Alligator mississippiensis: one gene and its partners. The protein of the gene in region 2 interacts with the protein of the main gene of each other region in a biochemical or structural test. Links are inferred from orthologs where the notes say so. Each region holds a gene or a part of one and is shown on either strand. Other genes may lie near its edges.

Region 1 (8,058 bases), on a different chromosome or scaffold from region 2:
GTCCTGAATTGGTAAGGAAGAGCCTAAACACTTGGCCAACTTGGATCTCTTCCAACACCTTCTGCTTGTATCTGAATGGCACTGTTGTCTGAATGCACTTAAATCATCACTCTAGTAGTTTACTCAAATAAAACTACAGTCAGGAAACTGGATGACCTGACACCAGCACTGGGATAGCAAGCCGCTGTACATGTGCAAGGGTTTTGCAGTTGGTTCTCACTCAGTGTTGACTTTAATTGAAAACAAGCTCAACACCACCTAAGATTGGGTTTTATGGTCCCATTAAATGGTTAGGATCTAACCCAGATGACTTAAGCAAGTACAAGAGGACTTGGCCTAAGCACAAGTCATAGTTACAGGCTCATCTGAAGTGTCCCTGGCTCCCAAACTGGTCTTGCCTCTTTCTCCACCCCCAAACCAGGGATTCCTTGGACAATGTCAGGTCAATGATCAAGTGACTGACAGCTACTTCTTTTCTGAAAACAAAAATGTTGTCTTGTATAGTGTGGGTAGAGTCTCTCTATTTCCTTCCGATCTAGGTATATGACCTGGATTTGCATTTACTATCAGATAAGAGCAGAGGGCCTGTTGAGTATGACTGATAGCTACAGAAGTAATGACAGAGTCCTCACCTTATTGATCCAGGTCAGTCCTGGTATTTGATTGGAATTGATCTGCATTTCCAACCAAGGCCTCATGCGCATTCTTGTCACTGGCATTTTGTCTGTGAAAGGAAAATAACATCAGCAAAAAGGTAAATGTTCTGCCTTCTAGGCTTTTTAGCAATGCAACCCTGCCATGCTTACTACTGTCCTTAAGGGCCAGCAAAAACCAAGTTGGCCAACTTGGATCTCTTCCAGCACCGTCTGCCTGTATCTGAATGGCACTGTTGTCTGAATCCACTTAAATCATCACTCTAGTAACTTACTTAAATAAAGCTGTGCTGTCAGGAAACTGGATGACCTGAGACACCAGCACTGGGATAGCAAGCCGCTTCCCTTTTTTGGGACACTTGCCCAGTTCTGTTGCAAGAGGGAACTTTTATCTTCTGATGCTGTTTGGCGGCTGACATGAAATGCATTTTTGGTCTTGAACCTTTACCCGGTGAACAGATACTCGGGTGTCAAACCAAGGGCACATCCAGTATATTCTTCCTGGCAATCCCAGTGGAAAATGCAAAAGAATCAAAGGTTTGTGGGCTCTGAACTCCTCCCTCTTCGTTCTCAAGGTAATTACTGCAGGTTGTGGGCAAGGCATGCTGGTAGGGCAGTGGAGGGAAGTCTAAACTGCCACTTCCTGTGTCAGACTTGCCATGAATCACAACAACAAAAGAGCAGGTTTTAGGGCTGTCAGGCTTTCAGGAGCACTGCATGCGCAATATAGTATTTAAATAACTGTTAAAATGTATTTAACTGGGTCAGGGAGAGGACCAAGGCAGGACATTGCTCTCTCAACTGATTCGTAGTCTACCAAAAAAAAAATGTCCTGGGGCGTGTCCAGTTCTTGTTTAGTGCTAACGAGCTTCCCTTCAAGGAAGTGCAACATGTTTGCTAGAAACTTGTACACTTTGCTGCGAGCTTCTCGTTCTAGCACTAGCTCTTGCCATGGATATAGTTATTCTAACTAATAATTTCAAAACGGGAACTCCAGCTTTCAGAGGTATCCAAACAGTCATTTTTTTTTCCCCTGAGCAGGCTGGCAGAGGCGGCAGAGTTGCACAGTCCAGTTTCTGGCTTCCTTCCTAACCTGGGAGACTAAATAAGAGGCTCTTCTCCAAGTGAACCTTCAGCTCTTTTACACTCCCTTTTTCTTCTGCTGAGCCCACTCCTGCCAGCCGGTTCTCCACGTGGAGAGCAATGTTTTGCTTTGGGGCCAGGAGAGGCAGTAACGTGAAGGGCTGCAAGGCTGGCAGCGTTTCAAGCACATCCCTGCTTGTTTTTCCCTTCAGAAAACAGCCTCTGTTCACAGCTCCTCCATCCTCCACAGCGCCCTCCTACATCGTACCAGGTGTTTTCTTGTTGTGTGTGCCTTGAGGATACGTGTATTGTACTAGAAATACAGTGTGTGCATGTGTGTGAGAAAAGTATATAGGCTATTATACATATATAATTATACCGGAATAGTGTGTGTGTGTAAAAAGTATATAGACTATATTAATATAATTATACTAGAAATAGAGAGTGTTAAAGTATATTGACTATTATATTTATATAAGTCTACTGGAAAGTGTGTGTTATATAAATATAATAGTCTATATACTTTTAAACACACACACACACACACACACACACACACACACTCTTCTAGTAGAATTATATACATATAATAGTATAATAAATATAATATAATAGTACAATAATGATATACATATACTAGTCTATCTACTTTTAAACGCACACACTTCTAGTAGAATTATATACATATAATAGTATAATAAATATAATATAATAGTACAATAATGATATACATATACTAGTCTATATACTTTTAAACGCACACACTCTTCTAGTAGAATTATATACATATAATAGTCTATATACTTTTAATTATACTAGAAGTGTGTGTTAAAAGTATATAGACTATGTTGATATAATTATACTAGAAATATAGTGTGTGTGCGTGTGTGTTCAAGTATCTGGACTCCTCTACTTCTCTAATCGGACGAGGCAGAGCCGGGTGCGGGGGGTGCAGGACGCTCGGCGCCGCCGGGCAGGGCTGGCCGGCAGCGGCACGGGCTCGGCCCCTCTCGCGCCCGGGTAAGCGGCGCGCCGCAGCCCGAGCCCAAGCCCGAGCGGAGCAGCGCCCGCGGGTCCCCGGCAGGCAGGTCTGCGCCGCCCGCCCCGCTGCAGCTCCCGCCCGCCCGCCCGCCCGCCCGGCGGAGTGCTGCAGCCCGAGCCCGAGCCCCGCGCGGGAGCCGCGACCCACCTGTGTGAGCCCGTCGGTCTGTGGGTCGGTGGGTGCCGGCTCGCAGCGCAGCGCAGCGCTCAGTGCCGGCCGCGGGCTGGGCGCGGGTCTAGTCTTCCCCCCGCACGGGATTCCCCGCCGGCAGCGCCCGCGCCGGCCAATCCGCGCCGCCGCCCGGCCTCGCGCGCCGCCCATAGGCTGCGGCGCCACCATCATTTCGGGGAAATCAGGCTGTTGTCACTGCAGCGGCAGCGGCGGCGGCGGCGGAGGCAGGGGAAGTACGGCCGCCCCGCCCGCCCCGCGCCGGCAGGTGGCTCCCCTGGGCGCAGCCCTGCACGGGGCAGAGGCTGGCGGAGGATGCCCCGGGGCAGAGGAGCTGAATGCCAGGCCGGCAGGGCCACGAGCCGCAACAGCCTGGGCCCCCCTGAGCCCTCCAAACCAGCTGTCAGTATGCATGCCAGAGCATGGCACGCCAAGGCACTTTGCTTGGTGCCCCTTGCAGCAACCCTGCCACCCCGCACCACACCGACATCTTAGGAGTCGAGGTTGTGGGTGTTTTTGGCATCCCGCTCAAAAAAGCTTGCCACCCCTTGGCCTAGGCCGTGTGGTCTCGGGGTCAGCGCCTGCACTCCTATATGCTCTTTTTTAATCATGATTCCAGCAGGCAGTGGGGAGGGCTGCATCTCAGCTGTCCGCTGGCTGAAGAGCCAGCCCATTTGTTTGGCAGCCCTGAGAAGTTTAAGACCAGAAGAAAATAACAATGTGACTTCCGCTTGACTCTACAAGGCATTATATTGAGGTAGCTAGGAGCTGGGCTGCGCACCCGAGGTTAATGTTCTCACTGTAGGAGAAGGCACTGGGACTTTAACAGCAGCACCCCGTGATTGTGGCTCTGTTATGTCTCATTGGAAAGACTCGGCAACCCAGTCCTCTTTAACATTTGGAGGGTGTCAGACCTGTGCAGACTGCCACCTACTGAGTCACCCACAGCCCTCGCGTGCAACCAGTCTTTAAGGTGCCCCTTGTAGCCATGTACGTGCTCAGCATCAGTCCTGTGAGGTTTCAGGTGCTATAAAGAATCTGTTTTGGCCAGTGGAAGCAAAGCCTATAAAATGTATCTGAGAAAAATAAAAGTGTAGGGGAAACTGTGGGAGATGACTAGTGGGGAATGACTAGTTTTACACTTCTGTAGTATGGAGGGAGAGTTATGAATCGATTTGTGCAGTTACCTTAATCAAGGTGCTGTCCTTTTCTCACATGCATTCAAGTGTGATCTTGCATTAGTTAGCAGCTCAAAATTCAGGAGTGTTAAATGCTGGGGAATGACATTTGGGTCTAAAAGTAGCAGCTCGGTCCTGTGGAGACCAGAACCGAGTCAAGGTCCCTGCTTACAGCATGTCTGAGTTCAAAAGTAGTAGTACAGCCATCCTCTGACCACTTCCCTGTAACCAGGTTAAAAATCTGAATGATCTAAACTGGATCTCATAGCCTAGTTATATTCTGACTTGTAAGCAATCGGGGCTGAGTGTGGTTTCAGTCTTTCTCTCCTGTGGGGGCTACAAAATGTTGCACAATGTGGGTATCTTTGATTTTCCAGCACCATCGTCTACCAGGTAACATGCTCAGCAGCTCATAGCAGCCATTTCAAATAAATCCTACTTTATGCATCTATTTTTTTCACAGCAGCCACTGCAAAGGAGAGGGGCATGGAAACAATAATGACATTTTTGCAAGATCTGGGGACATTTCTGTTCCCCACACCCACAACCACCATCCTCTCTCAGGCCTCAGCTGTGTGTCAGGGAAGGACTGACTTGAAAGGACTATCCTAAAGAAAATAAAGTAACTGCATTGGGCCCACATTCTGTCCTCTTCTGTACCTGTTGGGCTGCTTACATGTGTGCCAAAGAAGTCAATAGAAGGACTTCCCTCCATTTCAGCGGAGCCAGATGTATTGACTGGACCCCTGAGAGGAGAGGGGAGTGTGTGTGCCTGGGATCCAGAAAGCTGCATGCATTTTTAAACACTGTTCATCATTTCATGTTGGCATTCTAACAGTATCCAAGTAGGATTTGAAGTTCACAAACTTAGATTAACCCAAACCCTGTCCTTCCTTCACAGACAAGCTGTTTTCATGATGAAAAAGCATACTTTATTTCTTAGACTTTTTGGTTGGTTTTTTTAGAAGCATAGACTCTAAATAAAATAAAAATAAAAAATCTTTGTTTATTCATATTTTTATTTAACCTTTATACTTCTGGCCACTCAGGTCAGGACCCTTTGGGGCTGGCAATTACAAATGCATAGGGAATAGCAGTCCCTATTGCAAAAGATTTTCCGTCTAAAGGACAAGACCTCCCGAGTAGATAAGCTAATAATGTCAGAAGAGACTGGCAGACAAGATGGTAGAAGTGAAAGGATGTGTCCAATTCTCAACAAGAGGCAGTTCCTTCACTCTGTGCAAGACAATGAGCTGTCATTTATTTGGAAAATTGTATCACTCCAGACTATTTTAAAAGTAACTAGCAGTGGAGAAGATGTGTTACCTTGTCAGCAATATTGTTGTGTAAAGATGGTCTAGAACAGTGGTTTCAACCTGTGGTCTGCAGACCTCTGGGAGTCCACAGACTATGTCTAAGGGTCTGCGAAAGATGACTATGATCAATCAAAAGTATGTGAATACCAGACTTACAATTCAAAGGGATCTTCACCTCCATTAAAAATTTCCAAAGGGGTCTGCACCTCCATCTGAAGTTCTTTAGGAGTGCACAAATGAAAAAAAGTTAAAAACCACTAGCATTGGCGATGTGTAGGGGGTGCACGCAGGTGCATATGCACCCCAGTACATATGCACCCCTTGAGCATGATGGTGCACCCCATGTGAAACCACACACCCCTCGCCGCTGACACCACCGGCAGTGTCTGTGGGCAGTCCCTGATCACCACTAGCCACCGCCTATGCTGTCAGCAGTGTCTGGGGGTGGTCGCTGACCACTGGTTGTCGCTCACCCCTCCACCACCAGCAGCGCTGCAGCTGCCTGCAGCAGGTCCCCGCTTGCCTCCGCCATGCTCCCACCGCCACTTGCAGGAACTCGCCGTGCCCCCCCAGCCTCTGGGGGCACACGTCATTCACGACTACTAGTCTATAAAATTTACTTCACTTTAAAATCTTATTATATTCTGAGCCACAGTATCATTAATTGGCATGTGAGATGTATATTGTGATTTACTGTATATTGCTGTGTATTTTCAGTCTGAGCGCTTCTTATGGGTAGACATTGTAATGCAAATAATACAGAATAGGAAGGCATAAAAGGATGATCACATCTTGCTCTGCTCTTTCTTCTGCAGATTTAAGTCTATAGTAACTCCACTCAATTCAATGTAATGTAACTGAGAATTGAGTTTGGCCCAAAGACCCACATTCTTCCCCCAGATCTGTGCTGCAGAATACCACAGCATAACTTGCAAAAGGTTTTTGCATAAACTGGGTGGTGTTGATTTGTTTCCTTCTTTTAGATATCATGTGACTGAAACCAGGAAATTAAAAAAAAAACACTGTCTCTTACCAACTTCTTTATGTTGCATGTTCTTAGTACCAAGAAGTTTTTAAAATTTCATCTCTTATTCCCATGTATTCTATTTATACTAACAACCTAGTCACTCCAGAACGAAGCCCTGCTCATGGTAGTTGCTGAATCATATAGTTAAAAAATAGTACAAACGTGTACACTTTACAAACACTGACACAGACCTCTAACCACCAAGTATCAACACGCTTCAAGAAATAAACAGTTGAATCATTCATTAAAGTATTCTTCTGTCTTCTGAATGAATTCTAATACTCCTTAAACTCCAGCGAATCTTCCTTTCTCATCATTTGTTACACTTATCGTAGACACCAATGAGGGCCCCAACACTAGTGCCTGGATACTATCTCCCTCTCTTTTATATGGTCATCCTCACAAAATCTCTCTGACAAAGAGAAATATTCATTTCCCAGTTCTATATATGGGGAATGGAGGCTCAAAGTCCCACATTTTTTAAAGCATTGCTAAAAATATCACTAAGGTTCTGGTCCAGAGAAGTTACAAAGCCTGTCTTTGGGTGCCTTAACCCAGGTCACTCGCAAACTCAGCACAGTATGGAACTGAAGTAAGATTTCAGGCTAATTCTCTGGCCATGGGAATTGCCTTCAAAACAAAATAACTGATATAATAGCTCAATACCAGAACAGAACAAGGGGGCAAAGCTAAGATTCAACAGGCAGTGCAGGTTGGATGATGTGATAGTGAGCCATAGAGGAATGCACGCAACTGGCAAATGGGGAAGATACTGTATCTATGCATCCAGGCACACAGTTGGGAGGATGTTAATTAAAAACTTTTGCAGAGAGCAGCTATATTCATAATCATCTAGTAGTTTCGACTTTCCAGGTCCCTCTTTTGTTCAGCATCTTGAATCACCCTGGTATAGAAAGTCTCCGGGGGGGTAGCGGAGGGATCCCTGTTCCTGTACTCTATCTGTACAGGGTTTCTCTCCTGCAGACAGGAGCTGACTGCCACCAGTTGCCCTTCCCCAAGCTTCTTTCACAGCTCCTGCAATCCCCTATCAATGATCCCCTAGTCCCTTGCTCATATTCTTTGTTCCTCTCTTGGGCCCCTGAACCTTTTCCATGCCCTTTATGTCACGGTGTCCACCTTTAACCACCTTTAACCCCTCCCCAAGTCACTCGCTCCTCTTTCTTACTCCTCTTCCTCTTCCTCACCCCAAGAGACAACTGCCTTTTGTCCTGGAAGGATCGAAGTCCATGGCAACACCCATGAGCCCTCCCTATTTCCTAGCCCACTCAGCTTCCTCCCCTCTTCCCCACACACCTTTTTAATTTCTTTTCCTGTCTTCCAGATCCTTTTTTAATGCAGATCTTCTTCACCCCTAAACTCAGAGGCACTTGTTTATTTTTGGAGAAGAGGGGGAACCAATTCTAGCCTTTGGGAATTGTACTGATTCATCCATAGCCAATGCTGTCCACTGATTTAGGGCCAAATGATGACCTTAGCTACATTTGGCATGTCTGTGTACCTTCCTTTAGGCCATCAGGCCTGCAAAGAGTTAAATTCATTACGAGTTGAATCACTGGCTTCAGTGTGCAAA
Region 2 (7,027 bases):
TTACAAGGACACTAACTCAAACTAATTGGCATCTTCCAAGTCCATAAAGATAACAACTGGCTCAGTCCAGTTGCCAAATCTTGGTAAAACAAAGAAATTGACACACCACCAATCAAAGAACATTTATTAAAATAAACCATGTACAAATATTAGGTGCAGTAAACAAAAGATTTTGGGAAAACCGAAGCAAATTCAAAACAACCTGGTAGCCAGTCTGTATGCTACCTTCTTCCTCCCTCCTATACCAGCTGTACAGGCAAGAATCTGTATTATGCTGTTGCAGATAGCTAGGCAGACAAATGCTTACTCCTGTGCTTGGGCTGTAATCAATAAAAGGTTGGCTTCTATAGACCTGGTTTACCTCTTTATCCACCTTAAAGCTGATACCTTACCTGTTAAGAGGAAGTGGAGAATCGTTGGGAAATGCAAGTGTATCTTGATTTGGTGTAAAAAAAATAAAAATAAATAAAAAACATTAAAGCAATTATAACTGTCCCTTAGTTCTGCCTCTAAGCTTGCAAAGAGGTCATTATTATTACAGGCTACAGGTATGTAGTCTTGTCTCTGGAAAAACCAAATGGTACCGTGTTTTTGGTAATAGGTTAAGAATCACACCCCCTAACCAAAACACTCAGTACAAAGCCTATACAAAAGCCAGGCCCAAGGCACATTTCCTTAAGGAACAGCTATAAAGTATAGGCTTCACACCCACTTAAATGAAACACTGACTCTAAGAAGGCTTCTCCTTGTAGACCATTTTCTAGGCCATAGGATACTTTGTTGGTTCTCTCTGGATGGGAGTAAAGCCCCTCAGGGACACTTAATGGTCAGACCAGAATGTAACAATAAGGCAGTGAACACATCCTGGGAGGGGTCAAAAGTCTTAAGTGATTAAGAATGAATCCTAAATACCCTTTCAGTGTCTCCTCAATTATGGTGCAACTTCCTGAGAAACTTGGAATTTGATAAAAATGCCTAAGGAGTGGGGAAAATTAACTGAAATGATAACACATGATATAAAGTGAAAAAAGAATATCTAGCTGTGTATACACTGTGTTAATATGCAACTGAATGGTTTAGAAAATAATGTATAGAACTGCATGTTTTCAGGAGAACTTTGGATTTCTGAACCTGGGTATTTATCATTTGGGTTGACCAGCCAAATGACATGAATGAAGACTACTGGTTTTCAATCTGTAACAAGCCTGCAGCAGCAAGACTAGGAAAAGCATCCCTGGAAGCTGCAACATATTTTAACAGAATAAGTTGGCATAACTTAAAGGCAATAAAAAAAAAACAACCCAAAACCAAAGGAAATTGTTGTAGGTAAAAGAATGCTAGGAAGAGGGGATTTTTCAGCTCTTAACCAGAAGGTGCTAGTCAGCTAGGTAGCCAACAAGGAGACTAAACTAGGTATTTTAGTTTGCTGCATTTTTAATACTGTTTTATACTACAGATGAGTTAATAAAATGAGGTAATAAAATGCCATGTGTCCAAAGATGGGATACCTCCAGCACTGGACAACTGTTCATACCGAGGTTCCTATCAGTGAGTGTAACAGAGACCCTCACATCCTCAGAACCAAGTCACTCAACCTTGGTTAAGATCATCTCTAACAGGCTTGAGCCACCTGTTACAGACTGTTCAGACTGCAGCACGAATCCTCTCTTTCTATGAAGTTCACAAGTAATTTTACCGCACATGTTCCTGTTACACATTATTTATATTGCACTGCTCCATGTTTTTACAGTCTTCAACAAAGCTGCCTCACACGCTCCTTTGGAGGACTTGGTTTCTTTAGTACAGGTGCCCTGAACACCCCTAGCTCACCTCTAGGTAAATCAGCATCCTTCAAGAATGCCTTGCACAGTTTAGTTGCAAAATCAGAGTCCCACACTAGAAACTTTAGCTGGAATAAAAGCAGCAACAAGGAGGCTTTCTTCTTTTTTAAAAAAAATAAGCAACTGAGGAAACGTGTATGCTGGTACTGCAGCTGAAGCCTTGTCACAAGTGAAGGTTACTTGGACCATTACCAGCTGGTGTCTAGAAGGGTGCAAGTGGACAACACTCTCCAGCCAGTATCTCTAGGGGGAGGCAGGAAGTCTCTAGCACTCCTGCTGAGCAGCGTCCCCTTTCCAGCAGACAGAAGGCCCACGGCCCGGAGGCCTTTGGCTGGCTGCCTGCAGCAGGCCAGGCCAGGCCCCACCCCTTGGCTCCGGCCCACAAGCCTGTGGGGCTGCTCCCCAGCAGGCGCTGAAGCTGCCAGCCCTGCCCCTGCACTCCCGGCCCGCAGGAAGAAGGATGGAGGCAGCGGAGGCGGAGCTGGGCGTCGGGGCTGACCCCGCACAGCCGGGGATCGGGAGGGATCCCCCCTCCCCCACGGCCGGCCGCCAATGGAGCTGGGCCGCAGGAGGCGCCGGCCCCGCCAGCCCAGAGCCCGCGGCGCAGCGGGGAAGGCGCCCGGCTCGGGAAGGCGAGGGGCCGTTGGGGGTAGCCCGGGAGACCCGCCCCCTCCCCCTACACCGCGCAGGGAGGGGCGCACTCCGGCCCGCCCCACCGCACCGCGTGGCGCCCCTCCCCCCGGCCCCGCGCCATCACCCTCGGGCCCCCTCCCCCCTCGGGCCGCGCCGCGCCGCCCGCCCCCGCGGCCGCCCCGGCCCCCCCGCCGCTCACCTCGCTCCTCTTTGTTGGCGGCGCCGGCGGAGGCGGGCGGCTCGGGCTCGGGGCCCAGACAGGCGCGGCACACGGAGTGCAGGCAGGGCAGCAGGCGGGGCTCGCGCTCGCCGCGCAGCCGCTCGTGGCACACGCCGCACTGCTCCACCAGGTCTAGCGCCTCCGCACGCTTCTCCCCGCCGGGGCCACCCGCCTCGGCCGCGGCCGCTGGGCCCGACATCGTTGCACCGCCGCCGCGCTCCGGGCCTGTGCAGCCGCTGCGCGCCCGTCGGCCCCTGCAAGGCCGCGCGCCGTTGCTCCGGCTCCGGCCGCCGCCGCACACAAAACAAAACGCCTCAGACAAGGGGATCGGCGCGCGCAACCCCCAGCGCGGCGCGGCCCTAGCCCCGCCCCCTCTCGGCGCGTCACAATGCCCGCCTAGCGGCCGCGGCAAACCCACCCAATCACCTCTCAAAAAGGCGGCGGAGAGGCGGGGCTCCAAGGCCCGGCTGGGAGTGGGAAAGGGGGAGGGGAGGCGGCCATTGGTCTCCTGTACGTACCTGAGCGGGCGGGCTGTAGCGTAGGCAGTGATTGAATGGGAACAGGCCAATCACTGAACGGCATCAGCGGGCGAGGGCGGGGCTGTAAAGAATGACAACTTGCTGGACCAATCCTGCGTCTTCTCCCCTCCTGCCTGAGAATGATTTAGGAGGGACCCCCCACCCCGCGGGAAGAGTTTTCGAGCGTTCAGTGAGCTGCTGCCGCGTGGAAAGGGCCTGGCGGGGCTGGCGCCCAATCACCCACCGAAGCTGTGGGATTTACAGGGGGCGGTGCCTGTCGGCCTGGGAGGGCCGCGGTGACTGACAGGGCAGAGGGCCAATGATCGTTTCTGATGGACCTTCTGCTCCCGCCCCACCTCGTTGGAAGTGTTGAGCTCCCCCTCCCCGCCCCACGTGCGGCCTCGGTGGCTGACCTAGGATGGGAATCAGGAGTCACTCCAGGAAGCCTAGCCACAGGCTTGCCCTGTCCTGTCCTGCTGGTCTGACCCCACTAAATTCTGCCACTTTGATTAAAGCTGCTTAAATTGAAGCCGCTTAGAATTTTGGCGGACTAGATTCACCTAAGGCGGGGTCTGTTCCACCCCTTCCCCTCAGGCCCAGAGCAGCCCTCCAGTTTCCAGGCCGGCCCTGCCGAGCGCTGCGGGAATTGCTGCTGCAGTAGGCCGCTCCTGCACATGACACTGCCTTGCTCCCCTCAGTCATTCTGGCTTCACCCCTGCCCCCCCCCCCCATGCCCAGCCAAGCTGGCTGTCCCTGCCAGGGAGACGCCTCCTTTCTCAGCCCAACCTCGAGACCTTGCTGAAAGCACCCAGGGTTTCATTCCCCCCCAGGGATGCCGTGTCTGAGCTGTACCTGCTACAGAGTGACTGAGGGCCTTTGGTTGGACGTTACTTTTTGGATGTTTGAAGAGGATGAGGCAGCCTCAACCCTGCCATGAGTCAGGCTTCACAGTCACAACTTTCTCATTAACAAGCTAAGGAAGTACAGGCCGCAGGGAAGTACTGCAAGGTGGATACAGAACCAGTTGGATAATCCTTGTCGGGGTAGTCCTCAGTGGCTCAGTGTCTAGTTGGGAGGAGGTATCAAGTGAGGGCTGTCCTGGGTCCCAGGGTTCTTTAATATCTTCATTCATGATTTGAAGCATGGGATCCAATGTGCATGTAGCAAATTGGCGGATGATGCCAAGTTGGTTGGGATTGCCACCTAGGATCTAGAACGATCTGGATGGATAGGCTGGAGAAATAAATGGTTCACAAGCAATGAGGTGAGATTCAGCAAGGACAAGTGCAAAGTTCTGCACTTGGGACAGAATAACTGCATGTACAAATACAGATGGGGAAATGATTTGCCATACTGCAGAGAAGGGCTTGGCAGTTATGGTAGACCATAAGCTGATTTTGAGCCAACAGTGTGCTCTTGCTGCAAAAAAAAGTCAACATTATACTGGGTTGTATTAATAGAACTATCACTTGCAAACCAAGGGAAGTGATTCTTCTTCTCTAGTCAGCACTGGGGATGCCTCACCTGGAGTACTGGGTCCAGTTTTTGAACTCATGCTTCAAGGATATGTACAGTTTGGACATGGGTGCCTGGTGCCTCTTGAGTCAGGCAGGGCACGTGCCCCCCTGACACCAGTCAGCAACCAGGGGGTTCCCTGGTGGCTGATCCCACTGGCTGGGGAGGGGAGTACTCCCCCGGTGGCCAATCCTGATGGCTCAGGGGGGTCCCCCAGCACTCACAGGGGGGTATTGGTGCTCCTGCCTGCCACCCTACCTGCCAGCTACACAGGGAGCATGGCTTGACAGGAGGTGCACCGGTGCTCTCAGGGGGTGCACATGCACCCCCATGCACCTCCTATATGTCGCCCCTGAGTTTGGAAAACATCCAGCAGAAAACAACAAAAATGATGGGTCTGGGAGACGAGACTTATGAGGAAAGGCTAAAAGAACTAGGACTATTTAGTCTGGAGAAAAGAAGACTGAGAGGGGAGTTGGTAACATTCTTCAAATACCTGAAGGGTGATTCTAGAGAGAATGGAAATGGACTTTCCTCTGTGGCTTCAGGGGACAGGATTGGGAGCAATAGCCTCAAGCTTCAGCAAGAGAAATTTAAGTTGAAGATCAGGAGGAACTTTCAGACTATGAGAGCGGTCAAACACTGGAACAGGCTACATAGGTTGTGGAATTGCCATCCTTGGAAATTTTCAAAAGCAGGCTAGACAGACACTTGGTTGGGATGGTTTAATCAGGGATTGTCCTGCCTTGAGCAGGGACTTGGACTAGATGACTTCGTAAGGTTCCTTCCCATGATCCTATGAAGTCTTTTTTTTTTTTAAAAGAGAGGAAAACAGGGATGGCAGGAGTCATTCATCCTGACTTCTGAGTCTGCAAGGTGCCCTGGGTCATGCTTTTAAGATTTTCTCCATCACTCTATTACTCCCAGTCATTGCCCAATGCTGCAGCAGTCTCGTCCTTGCTACTCATTAAGCTGCAGTCTCATCTTGTGTCCTTGGGGCTTAACACCAGAACCTGTGGTAGCAGCTGTGGGATAAGTGAGGGTAAGCTGTGAACTCCCAAAAAGTTTTTTTGCATTACACCTTGGGAGCACCTTTGCATTTGCCGCAGGCTTCTAAGATGGTAGACATACCAGCTGCTGGCTCCTGCATGGAGAGCCATGTCCATCTGTCACCCACAAGTACACAGGCTGTTTTCAGCAACTAGGGACTCCAAGTTCAACTTGGCAAAGATGCTCTTCACTTGAACTGCCACTGGCTTTCTGTAATTTGGAGCCTGCCTCTCAGAAGGAGAGGGCTGTGGTTGGACTCTGAACCCTGATGGTCCCAACAATCTCCCCATTATTGCAGGTTATCATTGACATGGTCCTCCTCCATATCCAGAATGCCAGATAAGAGCATTCACTGAAAACATTGTCTTAATGCTGGAGGAGATGGTCTTGCTTCACAACATCATCTCCTGGAAGGCCAAGTGAATCACCAGTACTTTTCTTCCTTTTTTATGTCCTTGTGCAACCAGGTATTTGCCAAAATTCACAGATTCCTTAGAATCTGACAGGGCCACACACTGAGTGCTTCTGCTATGGCCTCACACTTACAACCTCGGGACTGTCAACTTTGTACCTTAGCACCTGTGCCACCTGAGCTCCCAATTACCAACGCTCAAGGGAGTGAAATGGTTTGCATTTCAATCAGAAGTCAAGGTAGATATGAACCTTTATATTAACTAAATCAGATCTATATCTATGCAGGCATGAGCAAACAGAAGCTTTTGTGAACCCAAGTTCATTTAATCAGATGCTGTGAAAGGATGTGCAGAAAGCAGAGTGGAAGGAGAGAGAAATTAGTGTACAAAAGACAAAGGAAGCTAGAGAGATAGGGAGAAGATGGCAATGCTAGGAGAGAAAACCAAAGATGCAGTAAACCTACAGAAGAAAAAGGGTTACAAAAGCTAATCCAGGTAATGAGATAACATAGTCCCAGTTTAAACCATACTTAACACAGTACAGTTTGTGGATGATTTCCTGGTTCTGCAATTTCCAGTTCATACTGGTTTTTATTTTGTTTGTTTGTTTGTTTTTTGTCTGAGAGCAACAATCCTGAAGTCAGCAGGGATGATGGATTGAAGTCAGCAGGGAGATTAAAATATTCTGCCATGGGCTTTTGCAGACAGCAGCGGGGCATTGTAAGCAGGTGATGGTGTATTTGACAGTAGAGTTGTGGGTGAATGTTTATTTCAATGTCAGTAGTTGGGGTGGAGTGTTGTAGCTATGATGGTCCAGGAAATGTGTGACAAGGAAGA
Region 3 (7,886 bases), on a different chromosome or scaffold from region 2:
AGAACTGTAGGAAGAAAGAAAATATCAAGAAACCAAGCAAGAGGGAATAAAGACTCAGCTGAGAGAATTAAGTCAACAGAAAGTGAAAGAGGTTGATTTTGAGAGAGTTCACTCATATTTTCCCACATCCAGAAAAATTCAGACCTTTGGCCAAGTTTCTCCGAAATCTTTAGGTCAGGTTTTATTTGTACACATTTAAAGGAAAATGTAACTTGAAATCAAGTTCTGAAAAGGTTTGCAAATTACTAACCCTTTTGTCAGGTTCTACTATTACAGCACTTTTGTTTTCTTCTGATACAATAACACATGTGCTGAAGGATGACTTGAGCACATTAATCACCAGGTCATTGGAAAGGATATCCAGCTTCTTTACTTGGTCTCCTGTCACATTGGTGGAACCAGCAATTCCATAGCTATAGCAATGAAAAAGATTGTTCCTCATCAGACAATCTACGATCTGTTAGTCATTTAAACTTAACATGAAATAGCAAATAGTTTGTGCCAGGGTTTTAAGGAAAGCCAAAGCACTGAACAGACGGAAGTTGCTAGCTATGCATTTGGAACAAGACATTAAGTACTAGATTAAGTTTTGACAATGGCCTCCCTCTTCTGTAGGTGTAGGTGGAATATTTCCCTCCATTCAGATCAACAGCTAGTTCTTTCAAAGTTGAGACCCTTGCTAGGAATTTAAGACAGGAAAGCTTCGTTTCTTCTTGAAATGAATATACTTTATGCTTGCATTGAAGTACATTTTACAGCAGTTGTTTCAGAAGATATAGCAACCACGGTTTTCTAGTGCTACTAATACATGTCCTAACAAACAAACACTACTCTATACTGATAGAAGCTTTTTGAGTCCATGAGTCTTCTGCTACTTGCTGTATGTGTGAAATTATTTTCATTTTTATTATATTTCTCATTAAGTATTGACACGGCTCATTACTACAGGCATTTTGAAAGTGCTGATCAGCATAGCACCTGACCTACCAATAACATGTAAAATATTGTAAGAATGATGTTGCAGAAAAGCTGCTTCACCTTTTATTTACCCCTGCAAGAACCCCCCCCCCCCACTCATTTCCTGTTTTGCTGTCAGCATGAAGCATGCGTAGTATTAGCTCTGATTGGCTGACTTGTGGCAACACCCCTGTTCTCTTCTAGGGTTGAATCTGAAAGCCTTATTCTTCTAAGATGCAAAACTCTATTCTTTTACAGTGCAATCAGGAAAAAAGTGTTTCATTGAATTTAATATTAAATGGTGCCAACATATTAAATTACAGACAGCAATTGATCATTAAGCCAGATATTATCAATCTTGGTCTTCTAGCCCATCTACCTGGTTTTCCAGTTCAAAGGTTGGGTATTCACTGAATCAAATTCAATTTAATGAAGACTCTGCCAACTGCAAGGATTTGGGTTATTTCACATCTTGTATACCAATAAACCCACTGGGCCCTTTAAAAAGGAAGAGTCAAAACTCAACACTAGCGACCTTCAGCAAAGACTAGCTAGAGAAAAGAGGGAAATAGTAGCTACCTTCAGCAAGGACTAGAGAGAAGAGGAACAAAACTAGAAAATGCCAAAATGGAGTCTGAAGACTTCCCAGCATTTGCTTCACCTACCAAGCTAGTCTAAGATATACATGTTAATTATTTATGCCATTATAGATCAGAGTCAAAAGTTGAGTTAGGTTTTTTTTTTTTAAATAAAGTAGTAGTATCATCACAGGTGGTGTTGACAGGGCTTTTAATATGAGGGGGACTGTTTTCTGTTCAGCTGTTTTATAAGTTTCTATTATTTTGTACTCTGTGATCTCATGTTGAGGTTGCTCCTGCTGGTGGGCCTAGACAGGGAAGTATTAGGGTAGGGCAGGAGAGCATACATTTCCTAGGTACGGTCCAGTAATGCCAATATTTACAGGCCAATGCTAGCTTGATCACCAGAAGAGCAGCTTTCCCTTGTACGGCACTCTTGGCCATATTTAAAAGGTGGGGTCAGTCTGCTCCTTCTACACTAACTAAAGTAGGTAGGTAAAGGTATCTATCCATCTACCTGTAGAGATCTATAATCTACATACAGAAACACAGGGAGATGGGTATATCTCTCTCTATACATATATAAATGTATCTATATCTCTATACAGAGAGATAGCCCAAGCTTTGCTGAGCTAAAGCTGTCTTCATCAGCTCTCTAACGTAGACTCCATCTCTTTATCTACAGGTAGCTGGGATGATCTAGTTGAGGATGGTTCTGCTTTGAGCAGTGGTTGGACTAGACTAATGATTTGCAACCTTTTTTTGGTACCAGGACCCATTTGTGAACCTTGATGGCCAGTCCTGACCTCCTGCCCCAGCCCCCCAGTGTGAGGGGAAGGGGGTAGGTGTGTGTGGGGCCTGGGGGGCTCCAGGCAGCCTTTTCTCCCTTTAAAGGAGAATCCATTTTTGAAGCTTATACATGACCCTTTCATAATATACTCTTGCGACCCACTTTTAGGTCCTGACCCCTGGGTTGAGAAACGCTGTACTAGAGGACTCCCGAGGTCCCTCCCACCCCTCATTGTCTGTGACTCTGATGGCCAGTCCTGGCACAAGCTTCCCTGAGCTGAAGTTCACCTCCTCAGCTGTCCAGACGGCCAGATCTCTGTGTCTCGCCACAGGGGGAGACAGATGCCTCTATAAAGATGCGTGGCCCCAGCAGGCCTCCTCACACGGACACCCCCTCCCTCTCCGCCCCGCTCCCTCTGTGCGGACGGAGCAGGCGGTTCCCGCGGCTGCTCGGCTCCAGCCCGGGCCCGCACTCACAGGTTGGCGATGCCGGCCTTGCGCACGGCGGTGGAGATGGCCTTGACGGCGGTGCACAGCGAGTTGAGCAGCTGCGTGAACTCCCCGGTGCCCCGCGCGCGCCGCCCCTCCTCCATCACGAAGCGGGTCAGGGTCAGCACGTTCGTGTCGAAGGGCGCACGGTCCGTCATGGTGGCAGCGTCGGGGACGACGACAAGGACGGGGACAGGTAGCGGCCACACAGCCAGGCCGAGCTGCCGCCGGCCCCGGAACTAGCCGCGGCCTCGGGGGAGGTGCCCGGCCCGGCCTATCGCGCGGCGGGGCAGGGCTGGACAGGCCAGGGCCCCGCCTCGCCCCGTCCCGCCTGCTTCGTGGTTACCTCAGTCCCTCAGCCTGCGTCCCAGAGCAGCTTCAGTTCTCCCTGCCTGCCTCCCAGTTATCCCAGTCCCTCCACTTGCCTCCCAGAGCAGCCTCAGTTCTCCCTGCCTGCCTCCCAGTTATCCCAGTCCCTCCACCTGCCTCCCAGAGCAGCCCCAGTTCTCCCTGCCTGCCTCCCAGTTATCCCAGTCCCTCCGCCTGCCTCCCAGAGCAGCCCCAGTTCTCCCTGCCTGCCTCCCAGTTATCCCAGTCCCTCCGCCTGCCTCCCAGAGCAGCCCCAGTTCTCCCTGCCTGCCTCCCAGTTACCCCAGTCCCTCCGCCTGCCTCCCAGAGCAGCCCCAGTTCTCCCTGCCTGCCTCCCAGTTACCCCAGTTCCTCCGCCTGCCTCCCAGAGCAGCCCCAGTTCTCCCTGCCTGCCTCCCAGTTATCCCAGTCCCTCCGCCTGCCTCCCAGAGCAGCCCCAGTTCTCCCTGCCTGCCTCCCAGTTATCCCAGTCCCTCCGCCTGCCTCCCAGAGCAGCCCCAGTTCTCCCTGCCTGCCTCCCAGTTACCCCAGTCCCTCCGCCTGCCTCCCAGAGCAGCCCCAGTTCTCCCTGCCTGCCTCCCAGTTACCCCAGTTCCTCCGCCTGCCTCCCAGAGCAGCCCCAGTTCTCCCTGCCTGCCTCCCAGTTATCCCAGTCCCTCCGCCTGCCTCCCAGAGCAGCCCCAGTTCTCCCTGGCAGCCCCCCAGTTACTTGGCTCCCAGAGGCTGCTGCCTTGTTTTCTCTGTCCCTCATCCCCTGCTCAAGGTCAACCCCCTAGAAGGAGCTAGACTATGGAGAAGGGTTTCCCTGCTAAACATTAGAAGCAAATCCACACGTGCTTTTTTTGGAGAACCTCATAGGCACGCACGTGGACATGAAGGCCTGTTGGGAAGCAGCCGAGAGCTGAACGTTTCTGTTCTGGTCCTGTTCACAGGAGCTCGTTGCTACCTCCTCCCTCTCTAGAAAAGGGCTAGTTAAGCGTGACTGTCAGTAACCGAGGACTAGGAAAGGCAGTTCAAATGCACTCTGCGGCATAGCTGGGGGCATCTCTTTGGTGGGACTACTTGGCTCTCCAGGTTGCTTTCCGTTTCAGCTAATATTTGTCCCCAACTGCATTAAAATAAATAACATGTCTAACTGCTCAAAAGCATCCAGGCTGTGTTGTATCCTGGAGCAAACCTCACCAACTGCTTCCAGCTTCCTCCTTTTTTTTTTGCTTCAAGCCTCTGAATTCAGGTGTAATTCTGCAATATGCAGAAAGACCAGCCAGGTCTGTCTGAAAAAAAAAATAGTCCTACTATATCCTTATATGTTTGGCCCGTACTGTTTAAATGTGATGGCTATAATGGGGAGAACAAGTACAGGTACTTTTTCTGCACCAGCTTTTCTGAATTGTGACATGTTACACCGAACAACTTCTGTAAAATTTGAGATCTAGTATAGATTTTTATGGCTCTTGGTAAAGTCAAACCCCAAATTATGCAATCTAAAAAGCAAACGTGTAAGTCCCTTTTATCTTGCATGGAAAAAAAAAAGGGGTCCTGATGCAACCTGGCCAAAGAGCACTGGAAAAACACCTGTTTAGTAACTGATTCTTCTGAACTTTTAACTTCAGCTGCCCAAATTCTGTTGCCTAAATCAGGGCTATCGAACTGGCAGCCCACAGATCACATGCGGCCCACAATTGGTCCTGGGTCCCCCACTGTACTATGTGCACACTCCTGGCAATGCAAGCTTTACTGGGATGAGGGGAAAATGTCATAGCTAGAAGAATGAGGGGAGTGGTGCCTGGGTGCGAGCCCAGAGAAAGGGGGATCATCTGTGGCCCCTGGGTTCCCACCCAGGTACCACTCCCCTCATTCTTCCAGCTTGTGTCTTGCCCCTATTTCAGGGGGCAGTGCAGCACAATACAGCCTGCAGTAACAGAAGTGTGCATCAGATACAGTGGGGGATGCGTGGCTTACTGATAAGGCATGCGCCGCCCCGGTCACTTATTAGAAGCTAGACAGCTCTGGTCTAAATATAAGGGAAAAAAGTAGCACCACCAACAGATTTAGAGCCAATCATAAAGTGGTACCATATCACTAACAAAAGTATTTATCAGGCACATAATTCCAATTTGTTATTATTAGAACTTGCTAAATAATGCTCCGGTTCTACAGTAGAAATCCAGACATGAAGGCATAACATATCAACAGTACTTCAAAACACATCTTACTGGACTTGGTGTTGGCTATGGGGGATGACCTGGTAGGGGAGCTGAAGATTTGTGGTAACCTTGTTGGTCACTGTCCCCAATCAATCAAATTCACCATACGGCGTAGAGTGGGTAAGATAACTAGTAGGGTGGAAGTGTGCTTAGGAGTTTAGTCAATGACGCACTGTAGCAGTGGGGATAGAGGGCATAGAGGGTGCGCAGAGGTGCACGTGCACCCCCTGAGAGCACTGGTGCACCCCTTAACCAGCCGCATTTGCCACTTAGGCAATGAGCAGGAGGGGCAGGCAGGAGTTTCGATGCCCCCCCCCCCCTTGCAAGTGGCAGCCAATCGCTGTAGCCACTTCCAGAAGCGATTGCAGCCACTCCCAGAAGTGGGAGGATTGCCCCCCCCCCCCCCCCGGTTGGCAAGATAGGCCACAGAGGACCCCCTTCCCTGGTTGGCGGGACTGGTTGAAGGGGGAGCATGTGCCCCCACCACAACTAAGACAGCACCAGTTGCCCATGCACTGCAGGATAGGAGTATTGGCAAGATGGGAGTCCAGGAAGGGTGGTCATTCCTAAAGGAAGCAATCCTTCGGGCACAGAGAGAGGCAATCCCAGTGCGAGGAAAAGGGGGGAAAGGGGACAAAAAACTTCCTTGGCTAAACAGAGAAATCCAGGAACCCAAAGGAGGCATATAGGTGGTGGAAGCGGGGGGAAGCTACCATGGAGGAGTATACCTACTTGGCCCGCACTTGCAGGGAGGCAGTCAGAAAGTCTGGCAACACAAATTAAAGACAACAAAATGTCTTTTTTAGGTATGTAGGGAGTAAAAGGCAGGCGCAGGGCAACATAGGACCCCTACTGAACAAGAAAGAGCAATTAGTGACAGACAGGGGGAACAAGGCTGAGGTCTTCAATGAGTTTTTTGCCTCAGTGTTCCTGAACAAGGGTCAAGATAAGTCTCCTAATGGGTACTTAGGTGGGCATCAAAGGGACACCCGCCTACCAACTGTCAACACTGACTTGGTGCAGAGTCACTTGGATGGACTGGATGTGTTAAAGTCGGCAGGCCTGGATGAGCTGCATCTGAGAGTACTGAAGGAATTCGCCAGTGTCATAGCAGAACCACTGGCATGGATGTTTGAGCGCTCGTGTTGCTCGGGTCAGGTCCCGGAGGACTGGAAAAGGGCCAGTGTGGTCCCTATCTTCACAAAGGGGAGGAAGGAGGATCCGAGTAATTATAGGCCAGTCAGTTTCACCTCCATCCTTGGAAAAGTCTTTTGAAAAGATTATTAAGGATCATATTTGCAGGAGTCCAGTGGGAAAAATAATGCAGCAGGGCAACCAGCATGGATTTGTAGCAGGTAGATTATGCTTGACTAATCTGGTTTCATTTTATGACCAGGTCACAAAACACTTGAACACAGGAGTAGAGGTGGATATCCTTTTCCTGGATTTTCGGAAGGCCTTCAATACGGTATCTCATCCCATCCTCATAAATAAATTGAGAGGCTGTGACTTAGATGTTTACATGGTCCACTGGGTGGCAAATTGTTTGGGGGTCACACCCACAAAGTGGTAGTAGAGGGATTGGTATCGACCTGGAAAGATGTGGGTTGTGGGGCCCCACAGGATTCGGTCCTTGGACCGGTACTCTTCACTGTCTTCATCAGTGACTTGGATGTGGGCGTGAATTGTACTCTGTCCAAGTTTGCGGATGATACTAAATTGTGGGGGGGAAGTGCACACTTGGGAGGGTAGGGAACGACTGCAGGAAGACCTGGACAGGTTGGATAAGAGGGCAGAACACAATAGGATGCAGTATGACAAGGACAAATGCAGAGTGCTGCACCTAGGGTGTAAAAATATCCAGCACACCTACTGGCTGGGGAATGATCCTCTCAGCAGCATGGAGGCAGAAAGGGATCTTGGAGTCATAATGGACTCATGAACATGAGTCGTCAGTATGACGAAATAATCAGCAAAGCTAACCACACCTTATCATGCACCAGCAGATGCATGACAAATAGAACTAAGGAGGTGATACTTCCCCTCTATGCAAGCATTGGTCAGACCACAGCGGGAGTACTGCATCTAGTTTTTGGCACAGTACTTTAAGAAGGATGTGGATAACCTTGAGAGGGTCCAGAGGAAGGCCACTTGTATGGTTAATGGCTTACAGGCCAAGCCCTATGAGGAGAGACTAAGGAACCTGGACTTCTTCAGCCTCTGCAAGAGAAGGTTGAGAGGTGATCTTGTGGCTGCCTACAAATTCATTAGGGGGGCACAGCAAGGGATCGGAGGTGCTCTGTTCACCAGGGCACCTCTTGGGGTAACAAGGAACAACAGTCACAAACTGACAGAGAGCAGATTTAGGCTAGACATCAGGAAGAATTTCTTCATGGTCAGGGTGGTGGCAATTTGGAATGGACTTCCAAGGGAGGTGGTGCTCTCCCCTACCTTGGGGGGGTCCTTAAAGGAAGACTGGATAGGCATCTGGCTGAGT

The links.
Region 1: the proteins of TRIM28 (region 2) and IRF1 form a complex in vitro, tested with the Homo sapiens proteins (2 studies listed by BioGRID). The link is inferred for Alligator mississippiensis from reciprocal best matches to the Homo sapiens genes TRIM28 and IRF1.
Region 3: the proteins of TRIM28 (region 2) and fructose-1,6-bisphosphatase 1 form a complex in vitro, tested with the Homo sapiens proteins (2 studies listed by BioGRID). The link is inferred for Alligator mississippiensis from reciprocal best matches to the Homo sapiens genes TRIM28 and FBP1.

Annotation. Positions count from the first base shown.
Region 1 is NC_081832.1:67,481,979-67,490,036, reverse strand, and holds the start of IRF1 (interferon regulatory factor 1), read right to left. Parts: upstream 3,032-8,058; 5' UTR 2,926-3,031; intron 725-2,925; 5' UTR 720-724; coding exon 633-719; intron 1-632. UniProt on the Homo sapiens protein: Transcriptional regulator which displays a remarkable functional diversity in the regulation of cellular responses.
Region 2 is NC_081828.1:75,675,021-75,682,047, forward strand, and holds the start of TRIM28 (transcription intermediary factor 1-beta), read right to left. Parts: upstream 3,035-7,027; 5' UTR 2,894-3,034; coding exon 2,674-2,893; intron 1-2,673. UniProt on the Homo sapiens protein: Nuclear corepressor for KRAB domain-containing zinc finger proteins (KRAB-ZFPs).
Region 3 is NC_081826.1:205,422,838-205,430,723, forward strand, and holds the start of fructose-1,6-bisphosphatase 1, read right to left. Parts: upstream 3,030-7,886; 5' UTR 2,972-3,029; coding exon 2,802-2,971; intron 414-2,801; coding exon 251-413; intron 1-250. UniProt on the Homo sapiens protein: Catalyzes the hydrolysis of fructose 1,6-bisphosphate to fructose 6-phosphate in the presence of divalent cations, acting as a rate-limiting enzyme in gluconeogenesis. Plays a role in regulating glucose sensing and insulin secretion of pancreatic beta-cells.